Macaca fascicularis: one gene and its partners. The protein of the gene in region 1 interacts with the protein of each later gene in a pairwise test. Links are inferred from orthologs where the notes say so. Each region holds a gene or a part of one and is shown in the gene's direction. Other genes may lie near its edges. The genes, in order: DZIP3, ATXN1, ZCCHC10, HNRNPUL1, ZNF24 and HNRNPF.

Region 1 (4,131 bases):
ACTGACGGCCCTGCTTATTCTGCGGCTTCTGGAGTCTATGCTAATTCAGAAGCAAAGCCTTAAGCATTTAATAGCTAACATCTTAATTATTAGGTTTGCAGATACTTCCTAAGTAATGAATGAAAAAGAGAAAACAAATGTACTTAGGAGATGGGCACGTGAAGTAGGGAGAAGAGGAGCACCAGTGAAGCTCAACAAAGACAGACACATTTAATACCACAGCAGATTCACTAACACCTGCTGTTGCTCTACTACTTGAAATCATTTTTTTTTCTGTAATATTTTACAAATCTTTGTCACATTAGTCTTTTGTCATAGGGTTAATATAACAAATACAATATATTTTAAAATTATGTTCAATTCTGTCTTAACAGAAGAAAGCCGTGACACAGAGAGTTAAAATAAGCCTTAACTCAGCTTTAAAAAAATTAAACTGAGGTCAATGTTAGTCTGAATTCCGTAAATGCAAAACAAATGACAGCAGAAGATTAAGATCCTAAAACAAATGGTATCGTCTGAACACATATCACTAGAACTAACAGAAAAAAAGGCAATTCAGCATTCTAGGATTAAAAAACTGTGAGCAATGTATTTTGGTAAAGAAAAAGGATTACGCTTACTAGGAAGGGGAACTGCTTCTTAAGGTTGAAGTAATGTTTTTCAAGTTTGAGTTCAACCCGAGTTCAAATAAGAGCAGGAAGCAACAAATTCAATTATAGATTACCGAAGAGCAAAACCAAGTTTTAATCATGACTTTCCGTCACTGAGAATAGCTGTGTATTGAGGGCTTGGTTTCGTAGAAAAACCAAAACTAGAAACAAAGGAAAAGATAAAGCTCCGAGCTTTTTCCGTTACCTACTCGAAACACAGCCTAAACTTCCCAACCTTTTGCCCCACTCCCACTTTTCCTAGAGCCTTCAGTGGGCGCTCTTGCCTCTCGCTGCGGCCGGCGGAACCCCGACACTCACTCGCCTTTACCAGTACGAAAAGACAACAGACGGATCGAAGGACCGTCCTTTCTTTCCCAGGCTGAGGCCGCCACTCCTCGGCCTCACTGTGAACTAAGAATTACTAGGGAAGCCCCATCTGTCCTCCACCCCAGAGCCTCTCACCTCCAAATGCCGCAAAAGCTGAGTGGCGTTCGCCTCTGACTTCACGGCTTTGTACTGACTGATAGTCAGGAGCAAGGACTTCAAGCAGGCAGTAGAGTCCATCGCACCGGCCGCGGCCCGGCTTGCGGACTACCACCTCTCAGCCTGCGCCGGCCTTTAGCTTTCGCCGCGCTTTTTTTGAGTTTTTTCGGTCCCACCCCCTCGCTCCCAGAAGCTTCCGGATCCGGTCGGGCTCCGGAAGAACCTAGGCACTCTGGGGGACCGTTCTCGGTGACTGCCGGGGTGGGCCAGGGGTCGAGGTGTTGTGTGGGTCCGGGACGGGGGTTGGGAGCTGCCCCTGCTAACCCACCCTCGTCTGAGAGGCCGCGAGGTTTCGCCTTGAGATCCCGTGAAGGCGAGAAATCTCGCGATTTCTCGGGAGAGGAATCGGTTAGGCGAAGTGGATTCCTCGTTCAGCTGTGCGCTCTGTTTTCGTGCGCTTCCTCGTCCTTCATGCTGGATGGCCAGTTTTTCCTTTGTGCGTCATCCTCTACCTGAGAAATGGTCGCTTGCCCCTAGTCTAGACACGGTGAGGAGCTCTGAGGAGAAGAATCTTTGGGCCCTAGATTTTGAGGCGGCCTGGGAGGGGCCTCGTTTTTAAATCTCTCCTCCACCCGCCCCTTCTGCCCGGGGATGGTAGTTTCTCAGAGTCAACCTATGGACGTTGGCATTATGTGGCAAATTAGTCATGCCCTGACCATAGTATTTGTCACATTTATTCGAGAAGGCTACCTCCTGCTGACCCTGGGCCAGGTATTGCTCCGGAGGGTGTTTTCGTTAGCGTCAGTTTTTGTAAGTGAAGGTGTTTGTTTCTCTCTGGCATGATTGATTGTTTTATAATTCTCAATGTCTACGAAAATGGCACTATTATTTGCGTTTTTTTGATCGGAGATAACTTAATATTATTGCATGTGTATATAATGAAGCGAGTCAGTTACTGGTTTTGGAGGTTTTTGCTTGATATTTCCTGACGTCGAATAAAGCTTTAAAAACCGGAATGTAGAAATTTTTAGAATAGGGTACATTTCCATTTAATTAAATCGTTTTTTAGAAATCATGTTTTTTCACTTCAAAAAGCATTTTGTGAATTACTAGATTTTTGAAGACAGGTTTGGTGTTTTAGTTTTGTTTTTTATAAAAAAAGTTTAAAACGAAATCTGAAAGGTAAAAATGATTTAACCAGTTGGGACTTTCATGTAAAAATCTTTGGGCAGCTTATGTGTTCATTCATGCTTTCATTCATTCCGTAGACAATTATAGAGCGTGTAACATGGGTTAGAAACTGCCAGTCAGGGCACAGAGATGAAGATAGTATCCCCCTGCTGCGAGGGAACTGTTTAGTAAGGGAAACATAGAAAAAAGTATTTTTGAAATTCACCACATAAATGAGAGGCACCACGCAGTAACATGCAGCAATGGTGAAGAGTAGAGAGCCAGGTTGCTTACAGATTCTAGCTCCGCCTTTGACGCTGTGACTGTAGGCAAGCTCTCACTGCTTCAGAATCTTCTTTAGGTAAAATCTGGCCAAGAGAAATACCTGTTTCGTAGGACTGTGCATTCATTGAGAATCTACAATGTGCTAAGCACTTTTCTAGACACAATAGATTCAGTGAATAAGACAAAAATACTACTGGCATGCAACTTACATTCTGGTAGGGAACCAAATAATAAGCACAATAAATAAGGAAAATGATATAAAGAGGAAAATAGACGTTATTACTCTAGAATAATGTTGGTAATTGATAAGGGAAATGGGGAGGTCAGGATAGACCTTATTAAGAAAGCAACATCTGGGGAAGTGCTTCAAGGAGTTGAGAAAGGGAGCCGTATTCTATGGGAAAACGTTTTTAGACAGGAAATGGCAGAGGAAGAACCTAGAGTGGGTCACTGTGTGCCAGGAACAACAAGGATGCCATGTGGCTAGTGTAGAAAGAACGAGGAGGAGAGGAGTAGAGATGAGGTCCTATACAGTCTTGGAGATGGTTAAAAAATGAATTAATATTAAGTGTCAGCTGTCATCTGGCATAATTAAGTTCTCAGTGTTACAGTCAGTGGCTCATTGGCAAATGATCAGAGTTTGATAGTGTTAGACTTTTCATCTGTACTGACAAGAGTGTCAGCACCATCCCCATTCAGAACCCCAGTGTAATGCTCAAAGTTGCCTGCTATCAGTGCCATCTTTGTTGGATTTTGACTTAAGCAGTCATACAAATTTTGCATTCTCTTCTGTATTTAATATCAAATGTCTTTCTCAAAAAATCTTCACCAAAATTGATGTTGTAAGTTTAGTAAGATGTACCGTTTCTAGCTGTGATAAGTCTTGACATTTTTAATCAGAGATACTTGCATATCCTAATTTGAAAAACACTGATCCATACTTTTAGGCCTCAAAAAGGGAAGAAAAGGAAGAGGAGGCCAGGAGCAGTGCCTCATGCCTTTAATTTCCAGCTTTTTGGGAGGTTGAGGCAGAAAGACCTTGAGCCCAGGAATTGGAGACTAGCCTAGGCAACATAGTGAAACCCCATCTCTACAAAAAATGAAAAAATTAGCTGGGCATGGTTGTGCTCAATTGTAGTCCTGGCTACTCTGGAGGCTGAGGTTGGGGGATCACTTGAGGCTGCAGTGAGCTGTGATTGTGCCACTGCACTGTAGCCTGGGTGGCAGAGTGAGATCCTGTCAAACAAAACAAAACAAAAAAAACAGATGAGTCTAGGTCCCGATGACCAAAGGCCTTAGTATCCTTAAACTTGGACTCCATCCTGTAGTCCATGGCAATCTCTGATTTTAAACTGGCACCTTGTCTAGTCAGGTTTGTTTTTAGGTTGATTACTCTGGCAGCTAAATGAAATATGATTTTGGGGATAAGACTGGAAAGAGGGACACTAATTTTCTGGAGCTTTCTAAAGGATAACCAGGATAATTGAGGTGGAGATAGAAAAGAGGTGACAAATTTGAGAAATATGTATGAGGTAAAATAGGT
Region 2 (3,500 bases), on another chromosome or scaffold:
TGAAGCACTCAAAGGCCGACGGCCTGGCGGGCAGCAGACACAGGTATGCCGAGCAGGAAAACGGAATCAACCAGGGGAGTGCCCAGATGCTCTCTGAGAATGGCGAACTGAAGTTTCCAGAGAAAATGGGATTGCCTGCAGCGCCCTTCCTCACCAAAATAGAACCCAGCAAGCCCGCGGCCACGAGGAAGAGGAGGTGGTCGGCGCCGGAGAGCCGCAAACTGGAGAAGTCAGAAGACGAACCACCTTTGACTCTTCCTAAGCCTTCTCTAATTCCTCAGGAGGTTAAGATTTGCATTGAAGGCCGGTCTAATGTAGGCAAGTAGAGGCAGCGTGGGGGAAAGGAAACGTGGCTCTCCCTTATCATTTGTATCCAGATTACTGTACTGTAGGCTAAATAACACAGTATTTACATGTTATCCTCTTATTTTAGGTTTCTGTTCTAACCTTGTCATTAGAGTTACAGCAGGTGTGTCGCAGGAGACTGGTGCATATGCTTTTTCCACGAGTGTCTGTCAGTGAGCGGGCGGGAGGAAGGGCACAGCAGGAGCGGTCAGGGCTCCACGCATCCCCGGGGAAGAAAGGAACCGGGCTCCACAGCGCCTGCTTTCTGTAGCGGCCCAGAAGCAGCCAGGGGCGCTGACTCCCGCTAGTGTCAGGAGAAAAGTCCCGTGGGAAGGGTCCTGCAGGGGTGCAGGGGTGCATGCATGTGGGGGTGCACAGGTGCTGTGGCGGCGAGTGAGGGTCTCTTTTTCTCTGCCTCCCTCTGCCTCACTCTCTTGCTATCGGCATGGGACGGGGTGTTCAGAGCAGTGTCCTCCTGGGGTTCCCATGTGCAAAATCAACATCAGGAACCCAGCTTCAGGGCATCGCGGAGGCGCGTCAGACGGCAGATTTGGAAAGTTAACCATTTAAAAGAACATTTTTCTCTCCAACCTGTTTTACAATAAAAGCAACTTTTAATTGTATAGATATATATTTCCCCCTATGGGGCCTGACTGCACTGATATATTTTTTTTTTTAAAGAGCAACTGCCACATGCGGGATTTCATTTCTGCTTTTTACTAGTGCAGCGATGTCACCGGGGTGTTGTGGTGGACAGGGAAGCCCCTGCTGTCATGGCCCCACATGGGGTAAGGGGGGTTGGGGGTGGGGGCGGGGGAGAGAGCGAACACCCACGCTGGTTTCTGTGCAGTGTTAGGTAAACCAATCAGGTTATTGCATTGACTTCACTCCCAAGAGGTAGATGCAAACTGCCCTTCAGTGAGAGCCACAGAAGCTCTTCACGTTGAGTTTGCAAAATCTTTTTGTCTTTGAACTCTAGTACTGTTTATAGTTCATGACTATGGACAACTCGGGTGCCACTTTTTTTTTTTTTCAGATTCCAGTGTGACATGAGGAATTAGATTTTGAAGATGAGCATATATTACTATCTTTAAGCATTTAAAAATACTGTTCACACTTTATTACCAAGCATCTTGGTCTCTCATTCAACAAGTACTGTATCTCACTTTAAACTCTTTGGGGAAAAACAAAAAACAAAAAAACAAAAAAAACTAAGTTGCTTTCTTTTTTTCAACACTGTAACTACATTTCAGCTCTGCAGAATTGCTGAAGAGCAAGATATTGAAAGTTTCAATGTGGTTTAAAGGGATGAATGTGAATTATGAACTAGTATGTGACAATAAATGACCACCAAGTACTACCTGACGGGAGGCACTTTTCACTTTGATGTCTGAGAATCAGTTCAAGGCATATGCAGAGTTGGCAGAGAAACTGAGAGAAAAGGGATGGAGAAGAGAATACTCATTTTTGTCCAGTGTTTTTCTTTTTAAGATGAACTTTTAAAGAACCTTGCGATTTGCACATATTGAGTTTATAATTTGTGTGATATTCCTGCAGTTTTTATCCAATAACATTGTGGGAAAGGTTTGGGGGACTGAACGAGCATAAATAAATGTAGCAAAATTTCTTTCTAACCTGCCTAAACTCTAGGCCATTTTATAAGGTTATGTTCCTTTGAAAATTCATTTTGGTCTTTTTACCACATCTGTCACAAAAAGCCAGGTCTTAGCAGGCTCTTAGAAACTCTGAGAATTTTCTTCAGATTCATTGAGAGAGTTTTCCATAAAGACATTTATATATGTGAGCAAGATTTTGTTTTAAACAATTATTTTATTATTGTTGTTATTAATGTTATTTTCAGAATGACTTTTTTTTTTTCTATTCAAAATCAAATCAAGATTTAATGTTTGGTACAAACCCAGAAAGGGTATTTCATAGTTTTTAAACCTTTCATTCCCAGAGATCTGAAATATCATTTGTGGGTTTTGAATGCATCTTTAAAGTGCTTTAAAAAAACAGTTTTATAAGTAGGGAGAAATTTTTAAATATTCTTACTTGGATGGCTGCAACTAACCTAAACAAATACCTGATTTTTCTTTTACCCCATTGAAAATAGTACTTCCTTCATTTCACAAATTAAAAAAAAAAAAATCTGGTATCAACCCACATTTTGGCTGTCTAGTATTCATTTACATTTAAGGCTCACCAGGACTAATGATTTTTGTAAACCATTTTCTGGGGTGTACCAAAAACATTTGAATAGGTTTAGAATAGCTAGAATAGTTTCTTGACTTTCCTCGAATTTCATTACCCTCTCAGCATGCTTGCAGAGAGCTGGGTGGGTTCATTCTTGCAGTCATACTGCTTATTTAGTGCTGTATTTTTTAAACGTTTCTGTTCAGAGAACTTGCTTAATCTTCCATATATTCTGCTCAGGGCACTTGCAATTATTAGGTTTTGTTTTTTCTTTTTGTTTTTTAACCTTTGATGGTAAGAGGAATACGGGCTGCCACATAGACTTTGTTCTCATTAGTATCACTATTTACAACTCATGTGGACTCAGAAAAACACACACCACCTTTTGGCTTACTTCGAGTATTGAACTGACTGGATCCACTAAACCAACACTAAGATGGGAAAACACACGTGGTTTGGAGCAATAGGAACATCATCATAATTTTTGTGGTTCTATTTCAGGTATAGGAATTATAAAATAATTGGTTCTTTCTAAACACTTGTCCCATTTCATTCTCTTGCTTTTTTAGCATGTGCAATACTTTCTGTGCCAATAGAGTCTGACCAGTGTGCTATATAGTTAAAGCTCATTCCTTTTTGGCTTTTTCCTTATTTGGTTGGTCTTTCCCATTCTGGCCAGAGCAGGGCTGGAGGGAAGGAGCCAGGAGGGAGAGAGCTTCCCACCTTTCCCCGGCTGCGGATGCTGAGTGCTGGGGCGGGGAGCCTTCAGGAGCCCCGCGTCTGCCGCCACGTTGCAGAAAGAGCCAGCCAAGGAGACCTGGGGGAGGAGCCGCAGTGTCCCCTGTCACCACACGGAATAGTGAATGTGGAGTGTGGAGAGGAAGGAGGCAGATTCATTTCTAAGACGCACTCTGGAGCCATGTAGCCTGGAGTTAACCCATTTTCCACGGTCTTTTCTG
Region 3 (3,959 bases), on another chromosome or scaffold:
ATGTGTACACGGATTTTATTTGTTCAAATGCTCTGTCCTCAGCTCCTAAAACATTTTAAGTGTTAATTATTAATTGAAAACATATGGCTGGGCGCGATGGCTCAAGCCTGTAACCCCAACACTTTAGGAGGCTGAGGCGGGCGGATTATGAGGTCAGGAGATCGAGAAAATCCTGGCCAACATGGTGAAACCTCGTCCCTAGTAAAAACACAAAAATTAGCTGGGCATAGTGGTGTGTGCCTGTGATCCCAGTTACTCGGGAGGCTGAGGCAAGAGAATCTCTTGAACCAGGGACCTGGAGGTTGCACTGAGCCAAGGTGGCGCCACTGCACTCCAGCCTGGCGACACAGCGAGACTCTGTCTCAAATGGAAAAAAAAAAAAAGGAAAAAATATGGATGACCCGGAAACACACACACACATACACTTCAGAAAGTTATATATATTTCAGAGAACGTGTTTTAAGAGAATAATAGCTCCGTGAGCTGACATTAGATGTAGGTGCAGCTAAAATATTGTAAAATATTTGTATAGTCCTTTTCTGCTTGACAAAGCAGCTTTACACAGTCCCATTTAGTACTTGTAACAACCCTGTGAAATACATACAAAACAGAAATAACGTGTATGTTTGCACTCTATGGCTTGCTAAAGTCATTCTTTCAATTGCTGGTCAACTAATTCCTTTCTATTCTCCAGACTACTTCTAAGTTTCTGAACACCACAGTTTCATTCTTTGTCTTTGTATGTGTATCCCTCGTTCGAGAATGTGGTCCTCATTTTCCACAGATAATGTTCTTGCCTGTAATCATCCTTTGAAACCCGGTTCCGCCAGAGAACCCGAGACCCACACTGGAGACACCGGCCCCTCCCGATCCACCAGCCCCTCCCCTCCCCTCCTCTTCCGACCCTCCATCCCCTCCCTTCCCCTCCCCTCCATCCCCTCCCTTCCCCTCCTTCCCCTCCCTCCCCTCCCTCCCCTCCCCTCCCTCCCCTCCCTCCCCTCCCTCCCCTCCCTCCCCTCCCGAGCCGGCACTGAGATCCTGCCGCGGAGGCTGCCCCAGAACCCCTAGAGGCCTGTCTGGCCTCGCCTACGTCTACGGCCTGCCGGTTGGAAGCCCCGCCCTTCCGAGGAGTTTCCCAAAACCCTGCGCGGCCGGCTTTGACCGCGCTAAGATGGCGACTCCCATGCATCGGCTCATAGCTCGGAGGCAAGCGTAAGTAAGGATCCGGTTCGGGCCCACCGGCGGGCTGGGAGCGGTGAAACGCGCGTCAACGGGCTAGTGTCGGACCCCTGTTGGGACCGGCGGAGAATGTCTGTTTCTCAAACACGCTTCTGGCTCCCGAGGGGCTCGGGCCCGAGCGATAAGTCTGGTGACCGTGGGTTAGCGATTTCACGGAAGACAGCCGTGTAAAGTCTGCGGCACGGGACAGAGCGGGGTTTGAAGACAACTGTCGCGTTTGGTTTCTCTGAAGGGAACGCCCACAGTTGGTCACTCAGTGATTTATGCCCCTCCGCCAACCCCACGCGTCGACAAGGGAGCCCTGAAGCCCCGGTCCGACACCTTTATGCCGGCCGACGTAAACCTTCAGTTTCCTATTTAGCGTCCATCCCTGCTGCCTTTTCCTACTTCCTTATTCTAGCGCCTTCCCTAGGAATCCTGCCTACAATGCCGACTGCCCTCCCAAGCTATCTTATCACTTTTTGGTACTCATTCTTTCAATAAATATTAATTTATCTAGTACCTACCGTTCTGTGCCAGACATTGGGTATAAAGAAAAAGAGGTGTTTTTTAGGACAAAAATCCTTGCTTTCAGAGAGCTTACATTCTAGTGATGGAAACAGTCGATAAACTACTAAATGTAAATACAGCTGGTGATAACAGCTTTGAAGGAAACAAACTGTTGTGATGGAAAGAGAGAAAGGCCCACTTTAGGTTGGTTGGACTGAAAAGGCATCTCTGAAGAGGTGGAATTTGAACAGAGATTTAAAGGGTGAAAAATTAACAGTCATAAGAGGATTTGGAGAAAGAGCATCCGGATAGTGGCATAATTGCTTTGAGGCTGAAACTTACTTTTTAAAGAACTGAAAGATGGCCATTACGCCTAATGAATAAGAGAGAGTGGCAGAAGAGATTCACACCTGACAAATAATGCAAGGGTCACCCCAGATGCCCTTTCTTATAAAGCTTTTGCACAGCCTTTGCACATCCAAACATCTGCCTCTTTTTCATAAAATATTTCATGCCATCTCCATTTTCATGTCCATATATAGCTCAAAGTCTGCTAGTATATATATGTGTATTTATATCTTTTTATATATTTTTAATTCAAATAATCCCTTTTTTTCTCTTTTCCTTTCCATCTACACTTTCAGGCCTGATAAGAAGAGTTCCTCAAATGTACAGACAGACTTAGGGAGTTAGAGTAGTAAGCTTGGTGAAGAAAGAAGGCTTGAAGTCAGACGGTTCTTTTTTTGAGACCGAGTCTCACTCTGTTGCCCAGGCTGGAATGCAGTGGTGTGATCTTGGCTCACTGCAACCTCTGCCTCCCTGGTTCAAATGATTATCCTGCCTCAGCCTCCCGAGTAGCTGGAACTACAGGTGCCCACCACTATGCCCTGCTAATTTTTGTATTTTTAGTAGAGACGGGGTTTCACTATGTTGGTCAGGCTGGTCTCGAACTCCTTATCTCAAGTGATCCCACCTTAGCCGCCCAAAGTGCCGGGATTACAGGCATGAGCCACTGTGCCTACCATTAAGTCAGACAATTCTGAGATCAAAAATGGGATGATAATACTTAAAGGGAGTGCTAAATGATGTCACCAGGTTCCGTTTCTCCCTGTCTGTCTCTCACACTTGCTCTTTGGTTGTTGGCTCCATATTTGAATAGGCTCTATTCTTTGCTCCCAAGATGGCTGCAGTATCCAGGGTCCTTTATATTCTCTCAGCTTCAAGTTGATTGTACTTCTTTGGTCTAGATTGGATTACATGCCCAATGTTAAACTATGCCTGTGGGATTGTGAATATCTGATTGATTTAGAGATCTTATTCTCCTTTCAGTACAACTGAATGGATGACCATAAGCCAATGATAACCAGGGTAGATAGGTCAGAGGAGGTAAATGAATGCAGGATTGGCAAAACTAATGTCCACTTTAAATATGAAGTGAAAATAAGACTTAGCATCTGAATAATACTGCTATTTATTGTTTCAGAAGTATCAAAAGTTAAATGTTTTATATCTACAATGTGTCTGTATTTGGTACATGAGTTACATGATTTGTAAAAGACAAATCTTACCTTTAAGGAGCTTTTGGTCCTGTTGGGAAGCAAACATGTGGCATACTGTAAAAACCGTTGTGGTATACTGCCCCACGTTGGGCGCCACGTATCCCGGCCCACGGGATAGTCAGAGCAGTCCCTGGAGGAGGGGGTGGGAATTTGGGGAACAAGAGACAGGAGAAATGGAGACAAGACAGTGCTCTGATCAAGTCTCGTTTAATGGTGGTAATGCAATGCCTTATATACATTTGGAGGGGAAGGGGTTGGGCTAAGGCGGAAATGACCTCATTGCGGAAGGTGTGGCCAGATAGGCTTCGGTTTCTCCGGTCGGACGTCATGTTGCGCCTGCGCAGTCAGGTAGTCTTTTCGCGGGTGTGGGAAAAATGAATGAAGAAGAAGCAGGAAGAGCGCCATCTTTTAATGGCGGTATTAATACAGGGAAGAAGGTAAATCTAGGGAGAAGGTGTGGGGTGGAAATGAATATAGCTCAGGCGTTTAATCTTTAATTATTATTCGCTATGGCCGGGGCGTGCAGCTCCGGACAGACTTACACAGAGTGTAAGTCTCCAAGGGATTCAGCAAAGGAGGGCCTTTAGAGGCTTGCGAAGTCCAAGAGAGTTTGGGGAATGTATTTGGGGGGAAAGCAGGAGAGGAGCCTTTACTTTTCATTTTATATTCATC
Region 4 (3,500 bases), on another chromosome or scaffold:
GCCACAGAGCAGAGGCCTAGAAGCTACTTGCTGATGGAGAGCAGAGGAAGAACACTCGCTCTGATCCTGGGCTGGCAGGGAAAGTTTCGTAGAATGGACTTAACATGTGATGAGCACAGACTCATAAGATGAGTCTCATGAGTCTCCTTCATGAGTGGGACACTGGGCAAGTCATTCTGCTTCTCTGAGCTGCTCTTCAGGAAAGAGACTCATCTGTGTTAGCCCTGGCCTGGCGAGGCCAGAGGGGCCCTCCACCAGAGGGAAGGCTGCTGCTGGGAGAGTCAGCAGCCAAATGGGCATGGGCTCCCCATCTGTGCATGCAGTGCACTGTGACCACCCAGACTGTCCAGGCAGGACCCTGAGTGTTAGTTAGACTCTACCTTTCTACCCTTCTTCCTCATTCCTGTACAGCAGAAACCAACAGTGTTAAGTCCCTTTTTTAGTGTTTTGGTAGGAAAATGAATATCATTTATAATTTAGGACACTGAAAAAAATGGGTCATCTCAAATTCTCTCAGATGTAGGATTTTAAGAAGCCTGGTACATGGATAGATAGTAATTATTGGGATTTATCTAGGCTCTTGCACATGCCCCTTCCTGGACAGCACCCTTTTGAGATACCACAGCCTCCAAACAGTAACGGAGATCAGTGTGGAAGTGGTTGTCAACATGCAGAGGGTATGGATTAGAATCTTAGGGTGTAAAAAAAGAGCAAAAAAGTTCCCTAAATGATTCTGATGCCCCCTTCAGCAGAGCATGCCCTCTCCAATCCCTGTCTCCACCCTAGGAGTTGATGGTCATTGCTCTCATTGCAAGGATGTATGGTTCCAGAGTTCTTTTGCCCACTTCTGTGGGAAGAAATGGAGATTCAGGAAGCAGTCTGGAGGCCACTTGTAGATTATAGCAGAACATTCATTTTCTTTCCTTTGTGCTCATGTATTGTTCTTGTGTGACTTAACCCCCGTTTCTAACACAGGGGCCGCTCTCCTCAGCCTCCTGCTGAAGAGGATGAAGATGACTTTGATGATACCCTTGTTGCTATTGACACCTGTAAGTCTTTGGAGTGCCCATCTAATTCTGCCTTTTAGTCAGTATGGGGAAATTGTGTCTTGACCTTCACCAGAATCCCTGCCTGGCACCGTCCAAAGACATTGTTAGTCCACATGTGACACACAGCTTAGCTCTGGAGCAAGAGTCCTGGTTTGGAGGCAGAAGACCTACTCCCAACTCTAGCAGTGGGACCCTGGGCAAGTCATTCTACTTCTCTGAGCTTCCCTTCAGTTAATTCTGCCGTAATAACCTCAGAGGACTTTCAGGGAGACTCCTCAGTGGATACAGGAGCAATTTGGAAAACCCTGAACTGCCCTGTACACACAGAGGTTGTCATCTAATCAGGAAGGGAATCTGAGTGCTGCTGGGGAAACTTAACTCTTTTGACAACTAGTTCCCGTTTCCATCAGCTGCTCACGTTCTTGGTGAAACCAATGTCACTGTGTCCTCTGAGGCACAAACCTGGCCCACCCTGCTGTCTGTCCTCCACTTCAGCTTTCTTTCCACTGGATAAGTGGCTTTCACCTTTGCTGCGCATCTGAGCATTTGGAGGATTTCTTATAAAGGTCCTTTTCCTCAGACCTCCTAGTCAGAGTCTAATGAAGAGCCTGTGAATCTGAATTTTTATATGCACCCAGAAGCCCAGTCAGGTCTGAGAACACTGCACTTCTCAACAGAGCAGAAGATAAGCAGCAATTTATTCATCTATTTCTACAGAAGCTTATGTTTATAAAGCACTGGCTACATGCTTCTGTAAGAGATAAAGATATATACGGTCTCTAATATCGCAAGCTCTCAAAGACAAAATCTACCCAGAGTAGAGGTAAACATTGTTTAAAAAGTGTTGGGGGGCAGTGGTTCATGAGGCAGTGTCTGATGAAATGGAAATGTACCGACCACAGTGGTCAGCCTTCAGAGAAAGGAGAGTGCCTCATGGGAGGGATGGTCAGGAAAGGCTTTCTTGGAGGCATGACTGGTTGCTTGAATATTGAGAAGGGTAAGAGCAACAGTAGGAAAATCCTAGGCCTATGAGAGGAATTAGGAGCCTATGGGGCACCTGGGCATTGGTTCCTGGGTGGCAGGTGTGGATCAGGGTCAGATCCCTGTATAGCTGTTGGAAACAGAAGTCTGGTTCCCAACTTGATAGAATTAGCACAGAGGGCGGAATATATGGTGGTGGTGATCAACCTTTTTGTATTCTAAAATCTAGTTTGAGTCTGGGCAACATGGCAAAACCCTGTCTACGAAGAATATAAAAATCACCCGGGCATGGTGGCATATCCCTGTAGTCCCAGCTACTCAGGAGGCTGCAGTGGGAGGATGGCTTAAGCCCCCAAGATGTGTTCACTTGTGTACTCCTGGTCAGCACTTGGGGAACTTCCCTCTGCCTGTTTCTTAGGACTTTTGAAACATCAACCAGGTCGGGCATGGTGGCTCACGCCTGTAATCCCAGCATTTTGGGAGGCTGAGGCGGGCAGATCATCTGAGGTCAGGAGTTCGAGACCAGCCTGGCCAACATGGAGAAACCCTGTCTTTACTAAAAAATACAAAATTAGTCAGGTGTGGTGGTACATGCCTGTAATCCCAGCTACTCAGGAGGCTGAGGCAAGAGAATCGCTTGAACCTGGGAGGCAGAGGTTGGGGTGAGCCAAGATCACATCATTGCACTCCAGCCTGGGCAAAAAGAGCGAAACTCCGTCTCAACAAAACAAAAACATGAACCAACTGGGCTTTTTCCTTCACAGATAACTGCGACCTCCACTTCAAAGTGGCCCGAGATCGGAGTAGTGGCTATCCGCTCACAATTGAGGGCTTTGCCTACCTGTGGTCAGGAGCCCGTGCCAGCTATGGGGTCAGAAGGGGCCGTGTGTGCTTCGAGATGAAGGTGAGTAGGAACAAGAGAAGGGGAAGGTCAGAGAGGTCCGTCCATTGTAATATCCTGACACCAGCCACCTTGGTCAGAGCTACAACTGGAAAAGAGACTGGATCGTGCAATACTGTGTCCAAGCAGACAAAACTGTGATGAACTCAAGAGAACTACATCATTGCTAAATATCATATCAGAAAAGCAGGCCAACCATACATTGCTTCATCAAGCAGATATTTCCTTGGTGAGAGTTGACCCAGGTATTGTATAGTCAACCAGTGTAGTGATGACATGTTTGTAGAACTGAGAAAATACGTTGTTTGGAAGAAAAGTGATCTAGAAAGAATAGACTCAGGTGTCACTTAGTAAAGGGAGGCCAGAGGGAAAACAGGGCAAAGAACTGCCAGCTTAGGCCAGCATCTGCTGTGATCTCTGCACCGTTCCATGTCAAGTTATGTTTATGAAAATAATACATGCTCATGTTTAACAAAAGTTTAGACAGCACAGAAGAGTACAGGATAAAACAGGTTATTCTCGCCGGGTGCGGTGGCTTACGCCTGTAATCCCAGCGCTTTGGGAGGCTG
Region 5 (4,296 bases), on another chromosome or scaffold:
AAACAAAAATGACTTCAGCTAGCCTTTATGAATCAGAAAAGAGGGAAAAGTTGGGAAGAGCAGCCAAGCTGCTTGGGGGCCGTATCCAAGTAGCAGAGTGAAAAGGCTGGATTTCTGAAGCTTCCTGCAATGAAGAGAGAAGTGTTAGCACGGGTTGTGAGAAAGGCTCTGGTCGGAGTGAAAAGCAATGGTATACCATCAGCTGCTGGCTTACTTGCTGTCTTCATGCACGAACCCAGCAGAGCCTGACGGCACTTTGCAGAGGGCATTTTCCCGAATGAGGCAAAAAGTCAAAGCCTGAGGAACTTGAAATGCTTATGTTAGGTTGGATCTACACTTTTGACCAGTCCTTAAACAACAGGGCTCCTTTGTGTGGTGTCTGATGCCAATCATGTGACCTAACTAAAGGCAGCGATGTAACCATCCCACAATTCATTTATTTATTCAACAAACATTTATTGTGTTCTCTATTTACCAGGCAGTCAGCTTCCGGGGTCTAGGCTGGGATGCTGTGGTGAACAAGACAGTCAAGGTCCCTGCCCTTAAGGGACTTAAAGGCAAAACAAAACAAAAAACAAGTAAATAAATGAGATCACTTCCATTAATAATAGTGCCATGAAGGGTCATGTGTCATGAAAGGCTGGCGGTGAGGCTGAGGATCTTGGGCCACACGGAGCTGAAGAGCTGAGGTGACTGGGGGCGCCAGGGTCTGGGGGTGCGGGCAGGCAACAGACCATGGGGGACTTACAAGACATTATAAGGAGTTTTTATGTCATAAATTATTATGGCATAAATTGGAGGGCTTTAAATAGGGGAGTGAAGTGGTCTGATTTGTAATAAATGATTGCGTCAGCAGCTGTTTTATGGTATAAAATGCCCAGCTTGAAGATGACCATGCATTCTACAAATTCACCGTGACATCGTTGCCAAAACCCTTAACCTGTCTCATCTAGTTTTCCTGACAAATAGGTCAGAATAAAGCTCCGTGACATAACTAGTGGGAGCCAAAGATTTGAATCACGTCTTGGTTTCAAATCTTGCTACCCACAAATGAGTTGTGAGCTCTTGTCAAGTTACTTACTGTATTTGTGCCTCAACTATCTCAGCTGTGAAATGGGGATAATGAAAGTTCCTACATCATTTATTTGTGAAAAAATAAATGACATGTAAAGCACGACGAGAGCGCCTGGCACAATGTAGTAAGCTTTCACAAATACTCGCTTTTATTCCTTCTTGCAGGGAATTACTTAGAGGATCCACAAGATAATGCACGTGAAAGGGCTTGCGAAACTGTAAGGACTATCTTAATGGTAGAGTCCTCTACTTTTCTTTTAAACGGTCCAGAGGACGCTAGGCTGTTCGAGGCGCGAGGCCAAGCGCAGCCTCAATGCGGTCATTGTCGTGGGGCCGCCCCTCCCCCGCCCGGGGAGCTTCTCCATGGCAACGTGGGCTTTACCTCTCCCCGCCTCCTCAGGCCCGCAGACCGGAAGCAGCCCGTGCCGGGGGCTTCTGGGAAAAGGCTTGTGAACGGTGTTTCTGCGTCTGCCGTGGACAGCGAAGCTGCTGCGGTTCCTGAGCCAGAGGTTTGCGCCGGTGTGCGGGGAACGTTATGGGAGGGAGGGGGACACCGGGCTAGGGTCTGCGGACCTCTTAGCAGGAGTCGGCGGGGAAGCCTTCCCGGGACCTTCCTCAGCTTCCCGGGAGGCGCGGGGAATAGGCCGCGCTCTCCGCGCCTAGCAGTTGTGGGGCGGGGAGAGGTAGGCGGCAGGCTTGCTTGGGTCTTCGGCGTCTGCAGAGTGCTCTCTAACCCCCGGTGTCCTCCGAGACCCTCACCTTCCCCCTCCCCCACCGGCCGGTTTTGTTCTATTTCGAGGCCCTGGCGTCTCGCGGAGGGTTCTGGGAGTCGTGTTGGGAGGAGGTGGTATGGGGCGAGACTTGCGCGGGGCTGTTGGGATTTGTAGTCCCACCGGCCGCAGGCGGAAGTGCCGTGGTTCCGACGCTGTTGTCACAGGGTGGTCTTTGGTCATGTGAAATCCGCTGTCCTGAGTGCTGGGAAGAGGGGCTAGAGGACTGGCCGGGATCGGGGTACACAGCAGGTCTATGCAGCAGTAAGGTGGGCGATCACCTGGAACGAGGTGCTCTGACCAAACATTGTCGGGACCGTTGGCCTTCCCTCCATTTCCCACAAGCAGTATGCTCTACAGCATGAAAGGAAGAGAAATATATGTAGAAATAGTTGCACCGTTGATAAGCAGGGTCTTGGAATAGGCACAAATCAATGTTGGCTAGACCTTATTTATAAGGCCACCACACTCCAGGGTATTTAATTAAACCAGTATGTATTACTTGTCTGATAAGGCCTTTTCTGATTCCAGTCTTCATCTTGCTTGGGTTACGATAAGTTTTTTTAAGTTGTTGTTCATAGGCTGCATGGCTCATTGCTAGTATGTGTCGTAAACAACAGCACGGGCATGATAGTGCAAATAATAAAGGTCCAGAAACAGCATACAGTTTCCCTGAAGGTAGAACTGGGGAAACTGTGAGTCATCCAGTGTAAGGACAAGACACTGGACCACTGCAAGAAGTTAAGGTGCTAATGCGAGTGCCTTTTCTTAATAGAATTTTCTGTGATTAATGCCTATCATTATAAATATAAATGTACGTATGGTGTGGTGGAAGACTGAATATTTACGTATTATGTGCAAGATAATTTTTCAAAATATGTGATCTGTTTTTCACATATGATCTTTTCAATATTATGTGATCTGTTACTCAGCAAGTGAACATTTTTTCCACATATATTTTAAGTCCAAGGAGTTCTTAAATACCTTATTTTTTAAGTGGTAAAATTTTTTTAAGCACATAATAATAAAGCAAACCTTCGTTTTGGTTGAAACAGGGTTTCACTATGTTGGCCAGGATAGTCTCGATCTCTTGACCTCGTGATCCGTCCGCCTCAGCCTCCCAAAGTGCTGGGATTACAGGTGTGAGCCACTGCGCCAGGCCCAGCTTTTTGCTATTTTTAAATTCATTTTTTAGAGACAGGGTCTCACTCTGTTGCCCAGGCTGGAATGCAGTGGTGCGATCATAGCTCAGTGGAGCCTTGAACTCCTGGTCTTTAGTGATCCTCCTGCCTCAGCCTCCTATAGTGCTGGGATTACAGATGTGAACCACTGCACCTAGCCAGTTTTTATTTTTTTTTCCTTTTGGAACTTTTTTTGTTAAAAACTAAGACAAACACATGCATTAGCTTAGGCTTACACAGGGTCTGGATTATCAATATCATTGCCTTCTGCCTCCCTATCTTGTCCCACTGGAAGGTTTTCAGTAGCAGTAACGTGCATGGAGCTGTCATCTCTGTGATAACAGTGCCTTCTATAATAGCTCCTGAAGGACCTGCCTGAGGCCATTTTGCAGTTAACTTTTTTTTTAATAAGTAGAAGGAGCACACTCTAAAATGTATAGTATGAAAAGTATAGTAAATACATAAACAAGTAACATAGTCGTTTATTGTTGTTATCAAGTTTTATGTACCATACATAACTGTATGTGTTAAACTGGCAACACAACAGGTTTGTTTACACCACCATCACCACAAACATGTGAATAATGCATTAACCTTACAACAGCTACAGTGTCACTAGGTGAATCTTGAATTGTTCAGCTCCATTATAATCTTATGAGAGCACTGTCATCTATGTGGTCCTTCATTGACCGGTCCTTCATTGACCCAAACATCATTTTTTTGTTTGTTTTTTTTTTTTTTTGAGACTGAGTCTCACTCTGTCGCCCAGGCTGGAGTGCTGTGGCCGGATCTCAGCTCACTGCAAGCTCCGCCTCCCGGGTTCCCGCCATTCTCCTGCCTCAGCCTCCCAAGTAGCTGGGACTACAGGGGCCCGCCACCTCGCCCGGCTAGTTTTTTGTATTTTTTAGTAAAGACGGAGTTTCACCGTGTTAGCCAGGATGGCCTCGATCTCCTGACCTTGTGATCCGCCCGTCTCGGCCTCTCAAAGTGCTGGGATTACAGGCTTGAGCCACCGCGCCCGGCCTCCAAACATCATTTTGTAGTGCATGACTGTGTTGGGTTTTTTTTAGGCCATCTAGTCTGTTGAAACTACTCAACTCTGCTATTGTAGCGTGAAGTATGAGTAAGTACAATTTTTTATGGACACATTCATGTTAATTTCGTATCATTTTCACTTGTCATGAGGTATTCATTTGACTTTGGGGAGCTCCATTCCCTAAATATCATTAGGTATTCATTTGATTTTAGAGAGCTCCATTCCCTAAGGCACT
Region 6 (4,223 bases), on another chromosome or scaffold:
TCCAGCCTGGGTGACAGAGCAACACTCGGTCTCAAAAAAAAAAAAAATACAAAATTGAGCCAATAGTGGTGGTGCTACTCAGGAGGTTGAGGCAGGAGGATTGCTTGAGCCCAGGAGGTCGAGGCTGCAGTGAGCCGTGATTGTACCCACTGCACTCCAGCCTGACTGACAGAGAGAGACCCAGTCTGGAAATAGTAATAGTAATAATGTTCAGCTTAACCTGTGATGAGTGCCTTGACATCATCTCTTCATGAAGAAGGTCCACCAAAATGAAATGATTATAATTATTAGCCTTACAAAGCGTGAGAAAAAAAAAAAAAAATCTGTCCCTGGCTTAGCCATTAGCCACCAAATCTCTGTGTTCAGGTGCTCTGTGACTGAAAACCTTGCCCTCGACCTGGGTCTGAGTTACATTCTGAGGTTTGGGGGCTTCTCACACCACGGAATTACCACGTGAGCAACTTCGACCTGACAAATCCCTCCTAACGCTTGCCCCGCTCTGAGACGCCTTTAAGCGATCTCTGGAGTACTCAGCGTACTTTTTTTTTTTTTTTTTTTTTTTTTTTGAGACGCAGTCTCGCTCTGTCGCCAGGCTGGAGTGCAGTGGTGCCATCACGGCTCACGCAACCTCCGCCTCCCGGGTTCAAGCGATTCCCCTGCCTCAGCCACCCGAGTAGCTGGGACTACAGGCGCGCGCCACCACGCCCGGCTAATTTTTTGTATTTTAGTAGAAACGGGGTTTCACCATGTTGGCCAGGATGGTCTCGCTCTCCTCACCGCGTGATACGTCCGCCTCGGCCTCCCAAAGTGGTGGGATTACAGGCGTGAGCCATTGCGCCCGGCCCTCAGTGTACTTCTTTCCTTATTTTATTTTTTGAGACAGCCTCTCGCTCTGTCGCCCAGGCTGGACGCAGTGGAGCAGTCACGGATCACTGCAGCCTCGACCTCCCGGGCTCAAGCGATTCTCCCGCCTTAGCCTCCCAAATTACTGGGACCACAGGCTTGCGCCACCACGGCCTGCCATGGTTCTCATTTCCTTTTCCCATCCTAGTCTTCAAATCAGGAGTCCTTTGAGCGCACATTTCAGTGTCCTGCGGGGCTTACCAGTGGCCTTCCTCCAGGGCCTCAGGGGCAGTCAGAGGGATCTTTCCCGCCGCTCCACTTCCTCCTCCTCCTCCTCCCCCATCCCCTCCCCACCCCTCCCTTCTCCTCCCCCCCATCCCCTCCCCACCCCTCCCTTCTCCTCTCCAGAAACGTCCTCGCTAGTCTGCCTCCGCCGCCTCCCCCACACCCCCGCCCCCAGTGTCGGCTCAGCTCCGCGCCCGGCCGGCCAACCGGTAGCTCCGCTCTGGGCGCGTCACAGTAGCGCCGTCGCGGCCCCGCCCCCGGGTGCAAGACGCAGAAGCTCCGCCCTACCGCGGTCCTTGCGTCCTTCCGGCTCCGTCGTGGAAGCAGGACTGCGCCGCGTCTTCCTTAAGGTGGGGTTCGGGGTGGCACTGAATCGCTGTCACGCCGGCAGGTAGCAGCGGGGTGGGGACGCGGGCTCCTTGGGCTTCTGTTTCCGGGTGCTCAGGGCAAAGGGCCGAGCCGGGGAGTAGGGCCGAGTCGGGGCCTGGCACGCCGGGAGCAGGAGGGCTTCCGGCAAAGCCGCGTGCTCTCGTCGGGCAGGCGCTAAGGACTGGGGCCGGCAGCGCGCCTGACCCCGCCCCTCGTAGGCCCCGCCCCGTGCTCGCAGCCGGGGGTTTCCATGGTGATGGTCAACAAGCCTCAACTGCCTCTGCTACAACTGCCAAGTTCCCCGCGTCCCACCCTCCTCTAGGTGCTCCGAGGGACCACCGGGGTGCCTGATGTGAGAGCGGGAGCGTAGAGACTCGGAGGCCGAGGTGAGGGGTGGCCGAAGTCTCCGACGTCGAAGGCCGCACACCCGTGACCGAGCGGGGACCGGGTCCCCCTGGGGGTGTGGACAGTGGGCCTGGGATTTGAGATTGGGGAGACCTTCCGAAGTCCAGGGCCCCGTACCCGGACTACCTGGGGTTTGGGCCTATTGGGGTGGGTGGGGCTGGGGCTGGGATTTGGGATCAGGGAGGAGAGATCTGAGTTTAAGCGCCACGCATCTGGGACCGATCGAGGACTGCACATAATGAGGGGCCGCGGCGCTGAGATTTGGGGGACGGATTCGAGGTCGAGGGGCCGGTACGTGGGACCGGCGAGAACTGGACCCCCTGGGATCGGGAGACGCAGTGTCGGAGGTCGAGAGCCGCACGCCCAGATAGTGGTCCCACGCGGTGAGCACCGCGGGCTGAGATTTTGGAGTCAGGGGCTGCCGGGAAGACACGGCCGGCCGGTGCGTTAGTTCAGCCTCCTGGTCGGGCGCTGGCGACCACCGGAGGGCTCTGAAAGTGAGAACAGGCCTGGCTCAGTGGGAGGCCCAGCCGGGAGGATCTCTTGAGCCCAAGAGTTCCCGACAAGCCTGGGCAACATAGTGAAACTGTCTTTGCTAAAAAGTTAAAAAAAAAAAAAAGAAAGCCACGTGTGGTGGCGCGCGCCTGTTGTCCCAGCTACTCGAGAGGCTGAGGCGGGAGAGTTGCTTGCTCTGAGGAGGTCAAGGCTGCAGTGACAGTGACTGTGCCACTGCATTCCAGCCTGGCCGATGGGAGTGAGACCTTGTCTCAGAAGTAATAACAGTAGTAATAATACCTGAATAAAATGAAAGCCGCGCGCTCACGTGGCTGTAGGCGCCTGAGAGTTGCACAAGACTTCCTTGTGGGGAGTTGGCTCCGCCCTCCTCCCACGCCCGGTTCCCGGAGCCTTAGCTCTCTGCCCTGGGCCCATTTTCTTCCTCGGCGGCGCCGCGTGTCCTCGTAGCGCGGTCTCTGTGTTGGTCTCCTGCTCCTAGAGGTACCGTGTTTGTATCTGGGGTGAAAATCTGACTCGTGCGCGCTCTTCGGCTTAGTCGTCTTTTTTTTTTTCCCTTCTGCTTGTGTGTATGAAGCATTTTCGTCGATTCCGCCCTGCTCCTAGGAAACTTGAGGACGGGGCCCGGCTCCTGCTGCGCCGGCTGCCCCGCTCCCCCAACCGCAGAGTCGTGGACCAGGGTTTTGAGGAGCAGGGCACCCGACTCGCCCTCCCCGCCAGACCGCCCAGGTCGCGGGGACCCCTCCCGCTAGGTGCCTGGGATCCCCGCTCGGCTCCGCGTGTGTCCCGGCTGGAGGGTGGAAGGAGAGCCGAGCTCGGCCATTGCCCGCGGGGCGCCCTTCGCTGCGGCTTTTCGGTCTCCGAGCGGCCCGGGGACGAGCTAACGCGCCTCTTTAGTTTTCGAAACTGCTTGCGGGCGCTGGGGGCTCGGGCCGGCCATCTGCGTGGCGGGACAGGAGGCGCGCGCTGGCGGCTGCGCGCGGAGGGCAACGGGCGGCGACGGCGGCTTCCCGGAACCGCGCGGGGCGGGCGCTGCGCCGGGGTCAGGGCCACAGCCTCAGGCGGCAGGGAGTTCTGAAAGTGTTGTCTTCAGTCGTTCCTTTCAAAAAGTCATCTTAATTCTTCCAAAAATATACACATATAATTCTTTCTACTTATATTTTTAAAAGTTAGATACGTGGTTGTCTCTGAATTCCTAGTAAGATAAAAATTCATTGGGTTCTCTAGGTAGGTGAAAGATATCTTAAGTGCTATCCCTGAAAAGTGACTCGTTGCTTTTACAGAATTTATAAAATAAGACATTACTACTTTAATGAATGTAAAGAGAGAGATTGCTTTATTCCTAAGCAAAAAGATCTTTTGCCTTGTAGGTATTACATTCCGGTGTGCATTCTGTAGATTAGAGTCACTGCCGGCCGGGCGAGGTGGCTCACGCCTGTAATCCCAGCATTTAGGGAGGCCGAGGTGTGGGAGAATCGCTTGGGCGTCAGAGACCGACCCCGTCTCTATAAAATGATATATATATTATATATATTATTTTTTGAGACAGGGTCTCACTTTGTTGCCCAGGCTGGAGTGCAATGGTGTGATCTCGGCTCGCTGCCGAGATCCTCCTGTGCTCAAGGGGTCCTCCCACCTCAGCCGCCGAGTATCTGGGACCACGGGCATTCTCCAGCACGCCTGGCAAATTTTTGTATTTTTTGTAGAGATGGGGTCTCCTTGTGTTGCCCAGATTGATTTTCAAACTTTTGTGTTCAAGCGATTCTCACGCCTCTGCCTCCCAAAGTGCTGGGATTACAGGCGTGAGC

The links.
Region 2: the proteins of DZIP3 (region 1) and ATXN1 interact in binary tests that used the Homo sapiens proteins (3 or more experiments, as listed by UniProt). The link is inferred for Macaca fascicularis from reciprocal best matches to the Homo sapiens genes DZIP3 and ATXN1.
Region 3: the proteins of DZIP3 (region 1) and ZCCHC10 interact in binary tests that used the Homo sapiens proteins (3 or more experiments, as listed by UniProt). The link is inferred for Macaca fascicularis from reciprocal best matches to the Homo sapiens genes DZIP3 and ZCCHC10.
Region 4: the proteins of DZIP3 (region 1) and HNRNPUL1 interact in binary tests that used the Homo sapiens proteins (3 or more experiments, as listed by UniProt). The link is inferred for Macaca fascicularis from reciprocal best matches to the Homo sapiens genes DZIP3 and HNRNPUL1.
Region 5: the proteins of DZIP3 (region 1) and ZNF24 interact in binary tests that used the Homo sapiens proteins (3 or more experiments, as listed by UniProt). The link is inferred for Macaca fascicularis from reciprocal best matches to the Homo sapiens genes DZIP3 and ZNF24.
Region 6: the proteins of DZIP3 (region 1) and HNRNPF interact in binary tests that used the Homo sapiens proteins (3 or more experiments, as listed by UniProt). The two-hybrid records come from large-scale screens. The link is inferred for Macaca fascicularis from reciprocal best matches to the Homo sapiens genes DZIP3 and HNRNPF.

What each region holds. Positions count from the first base shown.
Region 1 is NC_088376.1:174,503,227-174,507,357, reverse strand, and holds the start of DZIP3 (E3 ubiquitin-protein ligase DZIP3), read left to right. Parts: upstream 1-1,331; 5' UTR 1,332-1,904; exon of another isoform or gene 1,905-1,943; intron 1,944-4,131. Other genes in the region: protein CIP2A, read right to left, coding at 1,113-1,214. UniProt on the Homo sapiens protein: E3 Ubiquitin ligase proteins mediate ubiquitination and subsequent proteasomal degradation of target proteins.
Region 2 is NC_088378.1:156,606,963-156,610,462, forward strand, and holds part of ATXN1 (ataxin 1), read left to right. Parts: coding exon 1-326; 3' UTR 327-3,500. UniProt on the Homo sapiens protein: Chromatin-binding factor that repress Notch signaling in the absence of Notch intracellular domain by acting as a CBF1 corepressor. Binds to the HEY promoter and might assist, along with NCOR2, RBPJ-mediated repression. Binds RNA in vitro.
Region 3 is NC_088380.1:139,543,285-139,547,243, reverse strand, and holds the start of ZCCHC10 (zinc finger CCHC domain-containing protein 10), read left to right. Parts: upstream 1-1,159; 5' UTR 1,160-1,171; coding exon 1,172-1,212; exon of another isoform or gene 1,213-1,216; intron 1,217-3,959.
Region 4 is NC_088393.1:48,413,676-48,417,175, forward strand, and holds part of HNRNPUL1 (heterogeneous nuclear ribonucleoprotein U-like protein 1), read left to right. Parts: intron 1-975; coding exon 976-1,049; intron 1,050-2,794; coding exon 2,795-2,934; intron 2,935-3,500.
Region 5 is NC_088392.1:54,500,749-54,505,044, forward strand, and holds the start of ZNF24 (zinc finger protein 24), read left to right. Parts: upstream 1-1,496; 5' UTR 1,497-1,593; exon of another isoform or gene 1,594-2,198; intron 2,199-3,485; exon of another isoform or gene 3,486-4,296. UniProt on the Homo sapiens protein: Transcription factor required for myelination of differentiated oligodendrocytes. Required for the conversion of oligodendrocytes from the premyelinating to the myelinating state.
Region 6 is NC_088383.1:52,687,173-52,691,395, reverse strand, and holds the start of HNRNPF (heterogeneous nuclear ribonucleoprotein F), read left to right. Parts: upstream 1-1,423; 5' UTR 1,424-1,478; exon of another isoform or gene 1,479-1,883; intron 1,884-2,831; exon of another isoform or gene 2,832-2,898; intron 2,899-4,223.